Xenopus tropicalis: one gene and its partners. The protein of the gene in region 3 binds, or shares a complex with, the protein of the main gene of each other region. Links are inferred from orthologs where the notes say so. Each region holds a gene or a part of one and is shown on either strand. Other genes may lie near its edges.

Region 1 (5,540 bases), about 11 Mb from region 3:
TGCTGTCTGTCGCTCTATGAATATATAACATTTGGGATTGCTGTTCTGATCACTCACGTTATATGGAGGTTGTAAATTGTTGATTTTTTGTTCTGTTAAAACTGTGTACTGTAATGTTTGTCCGTGTAACTTTTAACACATTACAGTATGGTGTATTTATTGTAGCAAATACACCATACTCAAAGCCTGGTGCTGCCTTATTGCTTGTTAAAAAAACCCAGAGTTATGGTGACCATGCACGGGCAGATTTAAGCCGCTGGGTCCTTCAGACCGGATTTGGCAGTTTATCTGCCATGTATGTTGACCCCCGGCCATGTATGTTGACCAGTATGTCAATACATAATAGCTAGAAGTTAACTTCTTCCTTTTCAGCTGTCCACCCTGTTAAAAGCCAGTGACTTGAGGGCAAACATAGTATGGGACATAACTGTTTTCTTTTGAACCTCACCTGCGTGCTAAGGATAAAAAGCAGACTAAGTGAACATTGGCCTTTCCACCAGCAACTCCTATTGTTGTCGGTGGAAAGACATTTCAGAGTGGTTAGACACCTGCAATAACAGAGATCTATTGCGGGAGACTGAACCACTCCATGGGACATCAGTCAAGAGATTAGAGAGCTGAAAGGGGGAAGTCGTGTTCTGTCTATTATGTTAGACATCCACTTACTCCACTCCATTCTTGGCTCTCGAGCAGATTTCATGGCACACTCTGCTTAGCAGCATAATGCAATACTATTAATATTTGTATGTGCTTAAGAGTTACAATATTTAAATAAACAGCTACTATAAACTATAATCTATGAAAAAGGGAGAGTCTCCTTAATTCAGTGATCCCCAACCAGTGGCTTGGGAGCAACATGTTACTCACTAACCCCTTGGATGTTGCTCACAGTCCCCCCAAAGCACATACTTGTTTTTGAATTTCTGTTTTGGAGGCCTTTTGTACTGCCAAACAGAGTCACCTGTAGGCTGCTAGTACAAATTGGGCTACCAAATAACCAAGCACAGCCCTTATTTGACAGTTACTAGAAATTTATTTCATGCATGTGTTGCTCCCCAACTGTTTTTTTTTTTTTTTTTTTTTTTTTATATTTAAATGTGGTTCACTGCTAAAAAAAAAAAAGGTTACCCCTGCCTTCATGAATATGCAGAACATGGTAGATGAGGGAGAAAAATAGTGTTGGGTGGAACAAGCAAGAAGACCGATGTAGATTTTAATATACAGTTGTATAAAATGAACAGTATAATGCACGGTGTGTGTCTCTCAAATAATGTATATCAAACAGTGTCAGTTCTTGTGTAATGAAACCTTATTCTATATTTATTCTGTGCAGAGACCTGGAATGCTTCCAGGTAGCCGAATGACTCCTCAGGGACCAGCAATGGGCCCCCCTGGTTATGGTGGAAGTCCAGCTGCTCGGCCAGGCATGGCCCAATCAGGCATGGACCAGTCTCGGAAACGTCCTGCACCCCAGCAAATACAGCAGGTGCAACAACAGGCTGCTCAGAATAGGAACCATAGGTAATGTTTTGATTTGAATTAGCAGTTCCTGCTTTAGAAGGACCTATATATCTCCAAAACTGCTTAAGTTGGTTTCTCAAAATACATGGCTCACTAGCATAGCTGCAGCTTAAAGTTAAATGGCTTATTTGAAGTATTCTGTACTGTAGTTTTTAAATGCCACATGGACATATGTGCCCAACCCCCTCATGTATGGCCACTTTTAGGGTAAGAACCAACGGAGCAGTTCGGTTGCCCGCAATAGAACGCTATCACGGGCGACTACCACTCCGAAATGGCTTTCCACTGGCAACAATAGGAGTATTCCAAAGTCGTGCAAAGTTTCTTCCTGCAGGCAAGATCAATTGTGGATTACTAAACCACTACGTGAGTTCTTACCCTCAGTGTACAGTGCAGATTGGGGCACATTAATGATTCCAGTGGAATTTAGTTCTCCGCACTGTTGCTTCAGACCGACTTAGCAGCCATCCCGGCAGCCAGCCTGCCTGATAATCAGCTGGTTATCTATCAGGCAGAAAAATCCTATCAGATGTGGTTCTCTCCCTGCAGATTTCCATAGGCCTTAAGGTGGCCACACATGTGGCGATCTGCCACTAACCTTCAGGGCTGAAAGAGGCAGATAAGGAGGTAGAAACAATAGGATTTCTACCTCCTTCTGCCGATTCAGCGCTGAAGGCAGATTTTGGTCAGGCGCCTTCTATGGCGCCCAACCAAAATCTTTTAACTGGCCCGATCGGTGAGTCGACCGATATCAGCAGCTTCGACTCGCCAACTTGCCATACACGCACCGAATATCATGTGAATCGGTGCGTGTATGGCCAGCTTTAAATGTTCTTACTGTCGGCCATTTGCAGAGCAAATGGATAGCCAAAAAGCATATCTTCCCATGTGTGCCAATGTAGTTGAACAAATGGTTGTATGTAATAGGCTTAGCTAATATATCCTCTTTTAGAGGCTTAAAGTGGATCCATAAATGAGTAAAAGTTATTGTTCTTTTCTTCATACAGTGCTAAAAAGAAGAAAATGGCTGATAAGATACTACCTCAGAGGGTAAGTACTCGAGAAGATGGCACCATAGTTATTTAACTTTTTTCTATTTTTTTAATCGACAATATATATATATATTATTTTCTATTCCTACAGATAAGGGAACTGGTACCCGAATCTCAGGCTTACATGGATCTGTTAGCGTTCGAGAGAAAGCTGGATCAAACAATCATGAGGAAACGGCTTGATATTCAGGAGGCTTTGAAGAGACCAATAAAGGTATTCTGGACAGAAATTCTTTAAGTTCAAAGTGGAATTTTTAATTATATTTTCTTCTTTGACATTATCTGTTCTTATACAAATTTCTTAATTTTTAGCAAAAGAGAAAACTTCGGATCTTCATTTCAAATACTTTCAACCCTGCAAAATCAGATGCTGAAGATGGAGAGGGAACTGTTGCCTCATGGGAGCTGCGGGTGGAGGGCCGTCTCCTTGAGGATGTGAGTACTGAGCAACAAAAATGTTTCCATTGATTACTTAATGACAACCCCCCCCGTCCTTTTATATAACAGTCACAGGTTGGATTCTGTAGAGTAGGTCTGTCCAACCGGAGGCCTGTGGGCAGGATGTGACCTTCCAAAGGATTTCTATGTCCCTTTGTCTCTAAATATGACATTTTTATTTAATCTGACCCTGGTATTTTTGGGCCAATCTTAGCTTCTCCTCAGCTACGTGTAGCTTCATGCATGCTGAAGCTGTGATGTACCAATGACCAATGTAGCTACTAGGGATTATTATTATTATTATTATTATTATTAACATTTATTTATAAAGCACCAACATATTCCGCAGCGCTGTACAATAAGTGGGTTTCATACATTGGACATACAGAGTAACATATAAAGCAATCAATAACCGATACAAGAGGTGAAGAGCTTCCAAAAGAGCTTACAATCTACAAGGGATGCACCAAACCCTGTTTTTTGGGTTCAGCTGAACCCTGAATCCATGGTGAGGGATTCGGCTGAATTTCGGTTCATTCATATGCCTGCTGTAGGGCCCTCTATCACAACTGCACAATTCCCGCCTGCACCCCCTTACAGGTGATCGTGTCCCCCCCCCCCCCCCGAGCTGTTTGTAACTTCTGACAGCAGCCGCTGTGCGGCTTATAAAGAACGTTTGGCTCTGTGCTCATTGTGGCTAGAGAACAACAGAGCCGAACATTCCTTGTAAGCAGCATAACGGCTGCTGTCAAGTTACGAACAGCTCTCAGGGGGAAGCAGGACAGAACGGCTCTTGCAGGGGAAGCAGGGTACGGCACATCGGTGGGCAGGCAAGGTGGGGGAAGCAGGACACAACAGCTCTTGCAGGGCATTAGCATATGCTAATTGGGATTCGGTTCAGCCAGGACCGTTGATTCGGCCGAATTCGAATCCATCCGAAAAAGGCCTAATCCTGGCCGAATACCGAACCGAATCCTGGATTTGGTGCATCCCTAGTAGTTACAGGGCAATGTGTATTAGAGCGGTCCCCTTCTCTCCCTGTCTGACTGACCAGGGCCTTAGCTGTTAGGGCTAAGAGACATGGAGCTACTTAGTAGCAGCTACTTGTCAACGGCCTAAAAATGCCAGAAAATACCCTGCCACGGACAATACTCAGAGCAAAGCTGACCCGGGGACTGGTCTGATTGTCATATTGGAATAAAGAAGGATTTTTCCCCTCTGGTTTCACCTGTAGAAAAATGTGTGTGTTTGGTGTTTTGTTTTTGTTTTTTACCTCATCTGCTATGTTATTACGTTAATACTTTAGACCAGTCAACAGGCTACAGCATATAGTCATATTGGTGCTCCACAGGCGTTAGGAGACTCTTTACTGACTGCTTTATGAATCCCTCAAAACTGGTTAATAAGACCCATACTTATTATTCTTTTCAAAGTAATTATTTCCTTTTAAAGTAATTAATCTGAAAGATAAAAGTTTTATTGACAAGACCTCTAGAAAAAAAAAATGGTATGCTTATTGGATATTTCATCCTGGGGTTTAAGGGGAACTGCCGTTAAAATGAATGATAATGACATCCCTGACATTTTCCATTTTAGCGCTGAATTTTATCAGCAAGATGTGGGCTCAGCTTAATATAAGCTGACGGGAGGGAGAAGAGCCGAAGCTAATTTAATGAAATTCTGTATTGAGATGAAATATTTCCAATAGAAGCTGTCAGATCCTTTCTGTGCCATTTAATGAAGTTCAGGAAGAAGGGCCTATCTGTTTCTGTTATAATAAGATGCAGAAAGGCCATTTAAAGCAGTTGGAGACAGGGAACTGTTAAACTACAGCGGCTGTTTTCTGACCATATTGGTGCTTCTAACAAAACCTGTTCTCTGTTGGGGAACTTGGTTTGAGTGGACAAGCATAAGAAATACAATATTTGCAGTGCTCTTAGTTAATTATATATATTAAATTATAAGTGACTATTTATTTGGTAGATCTGGATGAGGCGCTTGTTTAAATACCAGAAAGATTTACTAGTGGGGAAGTGTCATTGTTAATTGAGCTTAACTTTTTAAGGCGGTATAAAAGGGATAGTGAAACATTGCAGTTTTAACAGCAGCATGGGAATAAGCCTATATCAACCTTATCACCCTGTTTAAAGTGGAACATCTTTCTGTCCCTTTAAATTCATGGGGATGCAGAATAACAAGCTACCTGAGCCAGACCGCAGCTGTGAAGGATCAGAGGGTAAATATGGAGGCAATACATTGCACACAATGATCCACTATTGCTTTAAAATAGACAAAAATAATTGTGCGTTTTTTTTTCTTTTTAAATTGATAGAATGACCCACTGGTATGTTAAAAAGGTATTAAGGTCATTAACACTAGAAAGGCCCTAAAAGCATTTATATACAGTATTCACTTAGTTTGTGCTCAGTAATTGTGTCTCCATTTCTAGAAACCATGATATATGTGTGTTTCATAATACCTGTACTTGTTCTGGTAGGGCTTTTGGGGCAGCTCATAAGTATTTATTAT
Region 2 (5,640 bases), on a different chromosome or scaffold from region 3:
AAATAATGTATATTTTTATTTTATAGTCCAATCTTGAATTTCATTCCATATTAGATTAAAAATTCTGCTTCCATATTGGATTTGTACTATCGGTGTCCTGGTCCATTACTAAATATTAAATTAGAGCCTGCTCTGGACTGTGCATTTTTCCCAGAAAGCAATGGGACATTGCATGTGACTGTTAGCCACTGGCTTGCTGCATTTTGGACAATGTAGTTTATAGTGGCTGGAGTCTTGTTGCATGCAAATGTCACTTCTAAATATACTTCTAATTTTTTTCCAAAATGTATCATTGCCTTGTTCAGATAGGATATTTTTCTAGTTATATCTTACAGTAGGTAAGTCTTCAGTTCTGCAGTGGTCATCATTAATATTCACAAAGCATGACATAATTATTTTATAGTACTGTATAACAATCTATTATGAAGAGGTATTTTCTTAGCAATACATGTGCATGTATACAGAAAATGTACATTTATGGATACATGGGAGCATATATGCTTATTATGCACACAGATACAATATATATGAATTCCCCACAGATATGAATATGTAACAGGCTGGGTTCACCCAGTCAGGCAGAACTGTCATGAGATGTCTGCACACATATAATTGGAGCTGAGACACAGACAGGACCCAGACAGCTTGGAAACTGGCAATGCTGGTTTCAATGGCAACTTTATAAGATCAGGAATGATAGCTTGAGTGGATAGGCAAGTGTGTACCAATATAACAGTCAAAATATAATGCACGTTCAATTATTTTCTGCCATAATACTGCCCCTTTACTACACCAGGCTGAGCACACAACAAATATATATAAGGAGCATTCATTATTAAAGTATATATATAGTACATATTAAATATATATTAAAGTATATATAGTACCTAAATATCAACAATATGACAGAAATGATGTTAGGACACATAAAGAAAAAACATATCAGGGTTGCTTGGGTGCACATGCAGATCTCTGTATATATATATATATATATATATATATATATATATATATATATATATATATACACACAGGGACTTACACTGCATAATTTGTGCTTTACTAAGTTCTAGTGTAGTGTAAAAGGGCCTATATTCAATTTATATTTCTATAAATTCATATAAGGTATTTACCATGGCCTTATTTATCTGCGCATCATTATGTTTATTTGTATAAGGCAGTAAAAGCTGCCTTAATGTTTCTCACCAATGCAACCAGTTACATATGAACCACAGAGTCCACTGAAACCATGTCCTCTGGTGGCCAAATTATCCTAAAAATGATTTAAACTCTAGCTTAAATTTACCAAGCAGTAACTTTTGGACACAGTGCCTCTAATAAATTAAATTTCCTTTGTTTTACTTACTAATATAAGTGATAAAACTTATTATTCTTTAAAAAATGATTAAAACAATGTCTCCTTAATATACAAATATACTAAAGAAATTAGAATTGTCAAATTAAAGCAGGTATACACGGATCTTATAATATATGTGAGTGTGGCATACAGCCTAATACAACAGCGCCATATATGTAAGTCCTTGTGAAAGCAAGATTAGTAACAGTAACTGTATTTTAATTTACCAAAAATTTAATTTACCAATAAGATAATCTGTAACATTAGATTTTCACTCAATAAAGGCTTTCTCCTTATCAAGTCTTCATGTCCAGTGCATTGCTTGAGAGAGAAGCCTTGCCAATTTGCTTACAAAGCTACAGTCACAATCTGCAAATATTTTTGATAAAAAGCATGCATATAATGCATTTTACAGAGAGCAGTCATACTATATTTTGCAGTGCATGTGTCAAATCAAATTAGGTTAAACTGATAACTGCACACAGTACCAGAAAGAACGAGAACTGCCTCTCACAGTTGTATTCAGTCAGAGCTGAATGAGTTAAAGTGAAATGTCCCCAGCTTAACCACTGGGAGAAATATAGGATTTTAGGTGACAGCAGTAACCCATATTTTACTCATATCTGACAAAATGCAGTTCTTCTATAATCTTCTGCAGCTTTAAATATGCTCATGGCTGCAAAACTACAAATAATTATTTAGTGTCAAACAGTATGCAGAGTGATGCAGTATCCATTATTTGCTTATTATTACAGTCTGATTACTTCAGGCACTGACTGGGTTAATGGCTACTTTATCACGTGCATACAGTCTGCCCAGATGTGCACTAGGAATTAAGGACAGAAGGTTCCCAGGCACTCAGCTCACTTGCTCTGCTTGCATGGTGCTATGTATGGCTTAAAACACATATTTAAGCATATTACATATTTTTGAATAAATATTATGCATAAAATGCATTAATAGTGTTAACATAAGTTACAGGGATTTTATTTTTAAGACAATACCCTAAATTTAGCTTTCAAAATTCATATTACTCAGGTGCAACCAAATACTATTAAAATCAGCAAAACACTGCTGTACATTTTATATGAAAATGCTGTAGAAAAGTGAACTATGGGTAATCACAAATAAATTCCCTTTCCCAAAGGAACGATAGGCAAAGACAGATGGATGAATAGGTAGCTAAATACATGGATAGATAATAGGCAAACGATCGCAGTCGCAGTCTAGACCTCAGACATACCCTAAGGATACAGTCTAATCCAGATGTAAGACCCTCCTCTAAAAGCAGCTGGATGTGACCTCACTGTGAAATTCTATAATGCATAGTATACGTGCAGAATAGATGGTTGATTCCACTTTTTGACATTTAATATATATATAGCACCCACAAGAGTTAATATATATAACAATCTACATGCAAATGTACAGAACAAACACACACACACACATATATCTATATATATATAGATATATATATAATCTCAAATAAATGTATTACATACACACACACACTATAATACACAAATTGGCAGGCAGACACACTCTTTCATGCATAGTATTCATGTAGATATGTCCATGTTGTAATAATGCTAAACACACATGTATACATCTGAAAGATATACAGTCTCAGACAGTGTAAATGCAGTATACACAGCTGTAACTATCTTTAAGTCCAGTATACTCACGATTTTAAGGGGTTGTGGAGGGCTGTGTTCATGGTGCAGCTGGGTATTAGGCAGGAACACTGCAGCCCCTCTAATATCACAATACTGTACAATTTCATTCATTCTGCACGCAATGGCCAATCAAAGGCCGTGTTGAGGGTAAGACTGGGAGTTGTAGTTTTGAGAGCCGCGCCAGTATGAATATGAATTGAAAATGGCACTACGTTGCCCAGAGTTCATTGCGAGGGACAAGTCTGGGAGGCTGAAGAAGAAAATGATTGGTGGAGAAGGTTAAGGTACTGTAAAGGGAGGAGGGGGAGCTGGGGGCAATGGGAAGGGGAGACTTTGTGTGTTGGATGGGGGGCGCGGGAAGGGATTGTCAAAAAGGGAGAGACAGGCAAGTTTATGAGTTAGGTGGGAGAGGCAGTCAGGTTGTGAGGAAAACTGAGATAAAAATAGGACGAGCCTAGTCATTGCTGGTGAGGCCCCATAAGGGCCTTTTGTTAACAAGCCAGCAGAAAAAAATGCAGCAAGTGGGTTGGGGGGAAGGGGGGGAGAAGGTGAGGGGAGAGCAGAATAATAGAGATCAGGCGGTGGAGAGAGAATTGGGAGGGGATGAATGGACTTAAAACTGATAAAGGAAAACACTGAAGTTGTTAATATCAGTTATATCCTAAATTTGTTTGATTGCAGGTCCAGTAATAAGATACAAGTACGCTGCAGGGAAGATTGGAGCCTTGAGGAAGATAGTGTGCCCACTGCAATTCAGGGACCTGCAGGAAAGAAAGGAGAACCAGTCACCATGGAAGGGTAAGGGAAAAGTGTGTCCTTCATCAGCAGGGCTCCCATAGTCCCCATTGCTGGCACAGATCATGCAGCAGGTCCCCATTTCCGTGGCCTTGCCAAACAGATATGGTGTGCGCTCCACTTTCTTGTAAACTCCACATAAAGTGAGTACTTTAGTACTATGTCAAGCACCTGTATTCAGCTGCTTCTTTTATATTCCTCATATAATAAGCCCCCCTTCACACTGCCACATTATAATTATTGTTATTCTTTGTATAGTGCTAACACATTCTTATGCGCCTGGCAAAGATTATATATCATTCACACCAGTCCCTTCCCAAGTGTAGCATAAAGCTCTAAGTACCTATAACAATTATGCCCTCTGTGGTCAATTTGAGTTCTAGGTACTGAATCTAGGACCCCAAAGTCAAAAGAGCTAACCATTGCGCCACTTTGCTGCCCTTAAAATTTTCAGTGATCTTTAGTGTGCAGTCGATCCTTTTATATTTCCTGTACAGGCAATTTATGTCAGAGCTGGTGAGGAATGTTGCGTTATGACCCAGATGTTTTTTTTCCTTTGCCAAAGAGATTAGAGAGCCAGAAAAGAACAGGGCCTTGGCCATAGTACATGGTCACTTTCAGTTTATGCAAATCGCTCTATGTAAAGGTGACCGATTAGGCAGCTTATCTGCCCGTCTATGGGCACCACCGACAGGCCTCCCCAACAGAAAACTGGAATTGGGCAGATCTCGATTGGGCAGGTTTGATTTTTCCGTCAAATGGGGGACCGTATAGGCTCGATGATGCGGTCCCCCATCCGATGGCGCCTATGCCAGCCGTTCTGATTTGATTGAATTAACCCTATATCGCCCACCCGTAGATGGGCATATCGGGAGAAGATCTGCTCACTTGGCGACCTCGCCAAATGAGTTGATCTTACAGTGAATGGCCACCTTAAGACTGGGGGTCCACCACAGTGGACAATATGGATTTTAATACCATTCACTCTGTTTGTCTGGAGGCTCCCAGTCGTTCCTATTCACTTATATACTTATGTAGTGGTGAACTATAAACTTAAGCTTACATTTAATGGTTTCTTATAACAAGTCAAACGCTCACCAAATTAGACTACAGGTCCAGGTGCTTATGCCCCGAACCTCTCGCTCTGTAGGTATTCAGTCTTCATATTAGTGCAATTAATATTCTACGTACAGTTGTGAACGGTTAAATATACACTCACTGCTTCCTCTCAGTGGCCCGGGTGCAATGCCCCAGACCCGCAGCAAGGGAAAACACAACCTCAAATCAGGTGTAGAAACATCACCGGCATGCACTCAACTGACTCCAGGACAGCGGTTGTAAAACTTCAAAAAGGCTTTATTCAAGGATCCGGATCCTTGAATAAAGCCTTTTTGAAGTTTTACAACTGCTGTTCTGGAGTCCATTGAGTGCATGCCGGTGATGTTTCTACACCTGATTTGAAATATGGATTTTAAGCCTAGCTTTTAGTAGTCAAATCAGAGCAGTGAGCAAAGAAAAGACAAGGTTAACAGCAGCAAAAAATATATGCATTGCAAATTCAAGTGCTAAATACTAATTAATAATAAATAAATACCAATTAATAAACAGGCAAAGCTTCAAAACAGCAACAACAAAATCTAGAACAGTCCAGTAGTAGCAGCAAGCGGCTCAAGTAGCCACGTGACCATTCCTGTGGGAAAGGTAATGTACCCCAATCTGGTAATAAACTCAGTCTTTACCTTGGCTATCCATGTTACCTTGGAAAAGTATTTATAAGAATCCCTTTACACAGCTAATTCTGTGAGGATT
Region 3 (5,640 bases):
TGAATAATATACGGTGTTGGTTTCACTTTGGGCTAAAAATTAATCCAATCTGTAAAAATGGCCCCTTTATTGGAGCTCCTTATAGATCAGTTCTGTTCCCTGTCCAGTTTGAAATGAGGGGTGGGCGTGTCCTAGCGTTCCCTGCCAGAAACACAGTCGGAGGGGGAGAGCCAATCACAGCCCTGCACTCACACAAGCAAAGCCAGGCTTCAGTTCCCTATCAGGTCAGCCTAGCTGCTGATTGGTTCCTATCCTACAGTGCAGTGTACTGAGAGCCGCCGCCTCCCCTGCGCATCCAGAGAATTCAGCCAGAAGGAAGTAGAACAGATGGGCGGGTCTGACATACAACTTTTTTAAGCACAATCCTTCTATATCTAGAAGAGTATAATTCACTGGTACATTCTTAATTTTTATAGGATATGTCTCCTTTAAGGTCTTTGGTGATGTTAAAGAAACAGTTCAGTGTAAAAATGAAACTGGGTAAAATAAATCGACTGCGCAAAATAAAAATATTTGTAATATGTTACTTAAGCAAAAATGAAATCTATAAAGGCTGGAGTGAGCAGATGTCTAACATAATGGCCAGAACTCTACTTCCTGCTTTACAGCTCTCTAAGCTGTTAGCATTCAGTAGCCAATCAGTGACTTGAGGGGGGGCCACATGGGACATAACTGTTCAGTTAGTTTGGAATCTGATGCCAAGCTGCTTCATCTCAGTACCTCTGTTTTGTAGGTTGTACTGCTTGTTAGGGTTCCATTTGATGTCCATGGTTAATTTTTACTGTTGACTCTGTTTATGACTAGATTATGGTCTCTTTGATACCTAATATGTCACAAATTGACGATAGGATTTTGCATCTTTGCCTTGTATAAGACCAACTAATGTATCATTTGCAAACTGTAAATCCTATCATAATATTCCAATGTGTAGAGGAAAGCCTTTCCAAATAAGTACAGGCTGATTTAAAGCAAAAAAAAGAACCAGATTCATATTAATCTTCTTGGAATAAAGTTCCACAAACTTTTCCTGATATGCCCACCCTGAGGTAGGCAATACCGAGCTGACCTGATCTTTGGCCCAAGGGCAAAACTATTGGATCACAATTACAGTAAAAGCAGGATTTTGGGGCGAGGACTGCATCATCCATGCCCAGACTGGACTTTTTTTGGATAGATCTCAGTAAGGCAGGCCCGTTGGAGGGCCCAATACATGGATAGATAAGCTGCAGACTCAGCCTGAAGAAGATAAATCGGCACCTTACATCTCCCAATGTATTGTCACCTTAAGGCTGATGTCAGACGAGGTGTAGGGCGGATATTTTCGGCAAGCGGAAAAACGCTTGCCGAAAATTCCGCCCTACGCCTCCTACTTGTGCCTGCACACGAATGAATGGAATACGCTTGGGTGCAGGCACATGTAGCAAAAATACACATAAAAACGCGAGAGTTTGAAAGTCTCCCGTTTTTATGCGTATTTCGGCTACATGTGCCTGCACCCAAGCGTATTCCATTCATTCGGGTGCAGGCACATGTAGGAAGCGTAGGGCGATATTTTCGGCAAGCGATTTTCCGTTTGCTGAAAATATCCTCTCTACGCCTCGTCTGGCATTAGCCTAAAATGCCAGAAACAGGTGCATGGCTACAGGCCTGACCTAGAATTCAAAATAGGCCCTGGTATTTCAAGTACACAGAGGCCCAAACAGCCTCCCTGCCAGCCCAATAGATAGCAACTCCCTATGGCATCTTACAGCAGCCCCTCCGGCATTTGCTAGTATCCACAGATATCCTCCATCCTCTTGTGTCTTTGACTCTTATCTTATTACAATTGTATCTTTTATTTAATTGTGCTTATTGTAATACTTTGTATTTATCTATTTTAATACCCCCTGTTTATATTAATGTATTCTACTGTACAGCGCTGCATATATAAGTAGCGTTTTATAAATAAAGATATACATACATACATTTTCTAGTGTTATGGGACGTTAAAGACCCTTATAAACAAAGGGATATTCCATGTAACCTCTTCTTTTACATAGATATGTATATTTTTAGACAGGTCTATATTTTGTTCTTCATCCAACAATTAACAAAACAAATTACCCTGCCATGTTAGCTACTGGCGCAGATTTGGCTACAGAGTTATTCTAAACAAAATAGCAGTACAACTGTAGAGCAGGTATTAAGAAGTATATGAAAGGGAATGCACTCAGGTGACTCACACATCAGCACTAGGGCAAAGGTAAGTCTGAGGATAACCACACTAGCACGTGCTACTAACATGCTCACGCTACAGGACATGCAGCTTGTAAACAGTTCTATATATATATATGTGTATATATGCATTCCTCTCATTCCGTGCTGTCTATGGAAGGGGCACTTTCTGCAACAACACTCCAGCTGCTAAAGTATCAGGCACAGTTATGTCAGTTCTTTAAGTTATTACGCTTGTTGTGCTATTTGCTTCTATTTATGTGTTGTCAACACATTAAATGAAAGCAAACAATGCAATCAGCTAAAAAGTATCAATATAATATTTATTTTTCCCTAGATGAGTAGGAAACACAAATAGAGCATTTGGTATTAGTCAGGTAACATGAATGATTGAACCACTCTCTCCACCGACCTGTAGCACCATACATATGTTCTAGCCCAAAACCCTGCGTGTGTGGGGTGTCCCTAACTTAGAACCTCCCAAAAGGGTGAAGAGTTGTGCCACTGAGCATGTGCAGAGGATCCGTGTATGTGAAACAGATGCTGGCAGTTAGGAACCAGCAATGCAGGGATGTAGCCCTGTGCTTCCCCATGGACCAAAAGCAAAAGAATATAACAGAACCCAACCCAGGGCTTTACTAAAGGGATAATACTGGGGAAATGTTCACCCCTTTACTGTTTGGCACAATGACTGTGAATGGCAAGGGTAACAAGATCTGACATGACAGGAGAGGATAATGGTGGGGCCGGGAGTTGCCACTGAGGAGCAAGGTACTGACATGAAAGGCTAGTACTATGCCTTGCCCACTGAGCTGACAATTGGTGGGATGCAGAGTTATTTATTCTTCCTACAATAGGGCATTACTGTACATCTTCCATCTGTTGCTATAGAAATAAAAGATGGCACGGCATGACATGTCCGGATTCTGTAGCGCACAGGGACACATTCAGGGCTCATTTTGTTCTATTATTCAGCTTACTGGGCGGGTGAAGGCCCCATATAACCATTTAATATAACAGGCTCCCTTCTCTAGAGGAAGCATCATTGTCAGTAACCTAGGTGACAGGCAGAGTAGGGGCCATTGCGGGGCCTCCTGCTGCTAAGTGCCCACCAGCCCTAACACCCCCGTACTCGGGCCTGTCTCTTTGTTCTAGGTGTGCAGCTCAGGGAAACACACTAGGGGACTTCGTTTGCCGTAGGACTCGAAGTCCCTCATTGCAGTACCTTCTTATAATTCTTGCCCAGCCATAGCCGCACGTTGTCGAACTGTGCGACAGTGTCGGATGCCTCGTAAAATTTCACATTCGGGCCGCCGTCCTTCTTCCGCACCGCCATCTTCTGCCAGCTTGCCCGGCACCTCCAACCCGAGAGCTGAGCGGCACCTAGCGGCCGGAACGATAAGTGCAGCGGGACATCGGCAACCAGTGGCCCTCCAGTTGTTAGCGAACTACATGTCCCAGCATACCACGGCGGCCTTGGGCAGGATACTGCGGCTAAAAGCCACTGTGCCGCTAAAATGGGCAATATAGCGCCAAAAAGCCTGACGTGATATTATTGATTGGAAAGAAGAAGTGGCGATCACGGCGGTACGCATAAGACTTATACCGCGGTGCCAGCGCCGGGCACTTCCAGCAGGTGCGAACACTGTGACTCGAATATAAGAGTCAGTAAGTTCTTTCTACGGCCGGACTCACAGGCTGAATGTTCCTGCCCTAGTGCCGCTGGGAAACACTCGCTGCAGCAGCGCCCACACAGCAGCGCCCACACAGCAGCGCCCAGTCTTCCACAACTCAAATTGCCCCCTTCCATTCGGTGTCCTTTCCCAGCCCCTCCGTGCATTGCAGCCCCTCCAAGCATAGCTTTGCCAGGGAGCGTACGGCCGCCATGTTGGGGAAAAACGCACGCCGGCTCACGCTCTGTGTCAGTAGGCTGAGCGAGTTGGTTGGCCGACAGTCACGGTGGCCGAGTGGTTAAGGCGTTGGACTCGAAATCCAATGGGGTTTCCCCGCACAGGTTCGAATCCTGTCCGTGACGGATTCGTTTAGCTTGTAAATTCTATTTTTTTTCCTCACAAACAGAATATTCCCCAGGCTTACTGACTTTACTGTAGCTCTCCTCCTGGTGTACACTTTCTTACTGTAAATGCTACAGAGGTACTTTAGTACGTACTGTGTTTGGGCGACTTGACAATTCTCAGCGTCCCTCCAAAGTGTGACAGAATGGGGAGACTAACAAGTTGCCCATTAAAAACAATGGCGGATCGGCAGAGGGATACTGGACAAAACTTGGGCAAGGCACACACCACCAAAGATCCATGGGTGCTGCAGACCTGAACTCATTCATTTATTGTAAAACATTTTCATTTATTGAAAAAAAAATTGTATGGGTTCTGCTAAGGTTACACTAGGGCTGGGTGCAATTGGCCTTTTTATATTTGTATTTTTCTGCCCTATTAATAATTGGCATCAAGTATAAATTTTATTGGCCAGGTTGCACCTGTGTTGGGTACTGGGCAGGAAGGGGGCTGTGATAGTTACAGTAGTACAGATAGTGTGATAGTTACAGTAGTACAGATAGTGTGATAGTTACAGTAGTACAGATAGTGTGATAGTTACAGTAGTACAGATAGTGTGATAGTTACAGTAGTACAGATAGTGTGATAGTTACAGTAGTACAGTACAGTAGTACAGATAGTGTGATAGTTACAGTAGTACAGTACAGTAGTACAGATAGTGTGATAGTTACAGTAGTACAGTAGTACAGATAGTGTGATAGTTACAGTAGTACAGTACAGTAGTTAGTAGTACAGTAGTACAGATAGTGTGATAGTTACAGTAGTACAGATAGTGTGATAGTTACAGTAGTACAGTAGTACAGTAGTACAGATAGTGTGATAGTTACAGTAGTACAGTAGTAGTATAGTTACAGTAGTACAGTATAGTGTGATAGTTACAGTAGTACAGTAGTACAGATAGTGTGATAGTTACAGTAGTACAGATAGTGTGATAGTTACAGTAGTACAGTAGTACAGTAGTAGTGTGATAGTTACAGTAGTACAGATAGTGTGATAGTTACAGTAGTACAGATAGTGTGATAGTTACAGTAGTACAGATAGTGTGATAGTTACAGTAGTACAGTACAGTAGTACAGATATAGTACAGTAGTACAGATAGTGTGATAGTTACAGTAGTACAGATAGTGTGTTACAGTAGTACAGTAGTATAGTGTGATAGTTACAGTAGTACAGATAGTGTGATAGTTACAGTAGTACAGATAGTGTGATAGTTACAGTAGTACAGTACAGTAGTACAGATAGTGTGATAGTTACAGTAGTACAGATAGTGTGATAGTTACAGTAGTACAGATAGTGTGATAGTTACAGTAGTGTAGTGTGATAGTTAGTAGTAGAGTAGTGTGATAGTTAC

What was found.
Region 1: smarcc2 (region 3) and smarcd1 share a complex: the UniProt entries of both Homo sapiens proteins name them as parts of the BAF complex. The link is inferred for Xenopus tropicalis from reciprocal best matches to the Homo sapiens genes SMARCC2 and SMARCD1.
Region 2: smarcc2 (region 3) and dpf1 share a complex: the UniProt entries of both Homo sapiens proteins name them as parts of the neuron-specific chromatin remodeling complex. The link is inferred for Xenopus tropicalis from reciprocal best matches to the Homo sapiens genes SMARCC2 and DPF1.

What each region holds. Positions count from the first base shown.
Region 1 is NC_030678.2:148,804,099-148,809,638, forward strand, and holds part of smarcd1 (SWI/SNF-related matrix-associated actin-dependent regulator of chromatin subfamily D member 1), read left to right. Parts: intron 1-1,333; coding exon 1,334-1,521; intron 1,522-2,528; coding exon 2,529-2,571; intron 2,572-2,664; coding exon 2,665-2,787; intron 2,788-2,885; coding exon 2,886-3,008; intron 3,009-5,540. UniProt on the Homo sapiens protein: Involved in transcriptional activation and repression of select genes by chromatin remodeling (alteration of DNA-nucleosome topology).
Region 2 is NC_030684.2:77,397,695-77,403,334, reverse strand, and holds the start of dpf1 (zinc finger protein neuro-d4), read right to left. Parts: upstream 3,078-5,640; coding exon 3,046-3,077; intron 1-3,045. UniProt on the Homo sapiens protein: May have an important role in developing neurons by participating in regulation of cell survival, possibly as a neurospecific transcription factor. Belongs to the neuron-specific chromatin remodeling complex (nBAF complex).
Region 3 is NC_030678.2:137,466,668-137,472,307, reverse strand, and holds the start of smarcc2 (SWI/SNF complex subunit SMARCC2), read right to left. Parts: upstream 4,147-5,640; 5' UTR 3,551-4,146; coding exon 3,440-3,550; intron 1-3,439. UniProt on the Homo sapiens protein: Involved in transcriptional activation and repression of select genes by chromatin remodeling (alteration of DNA-nucleosome topology).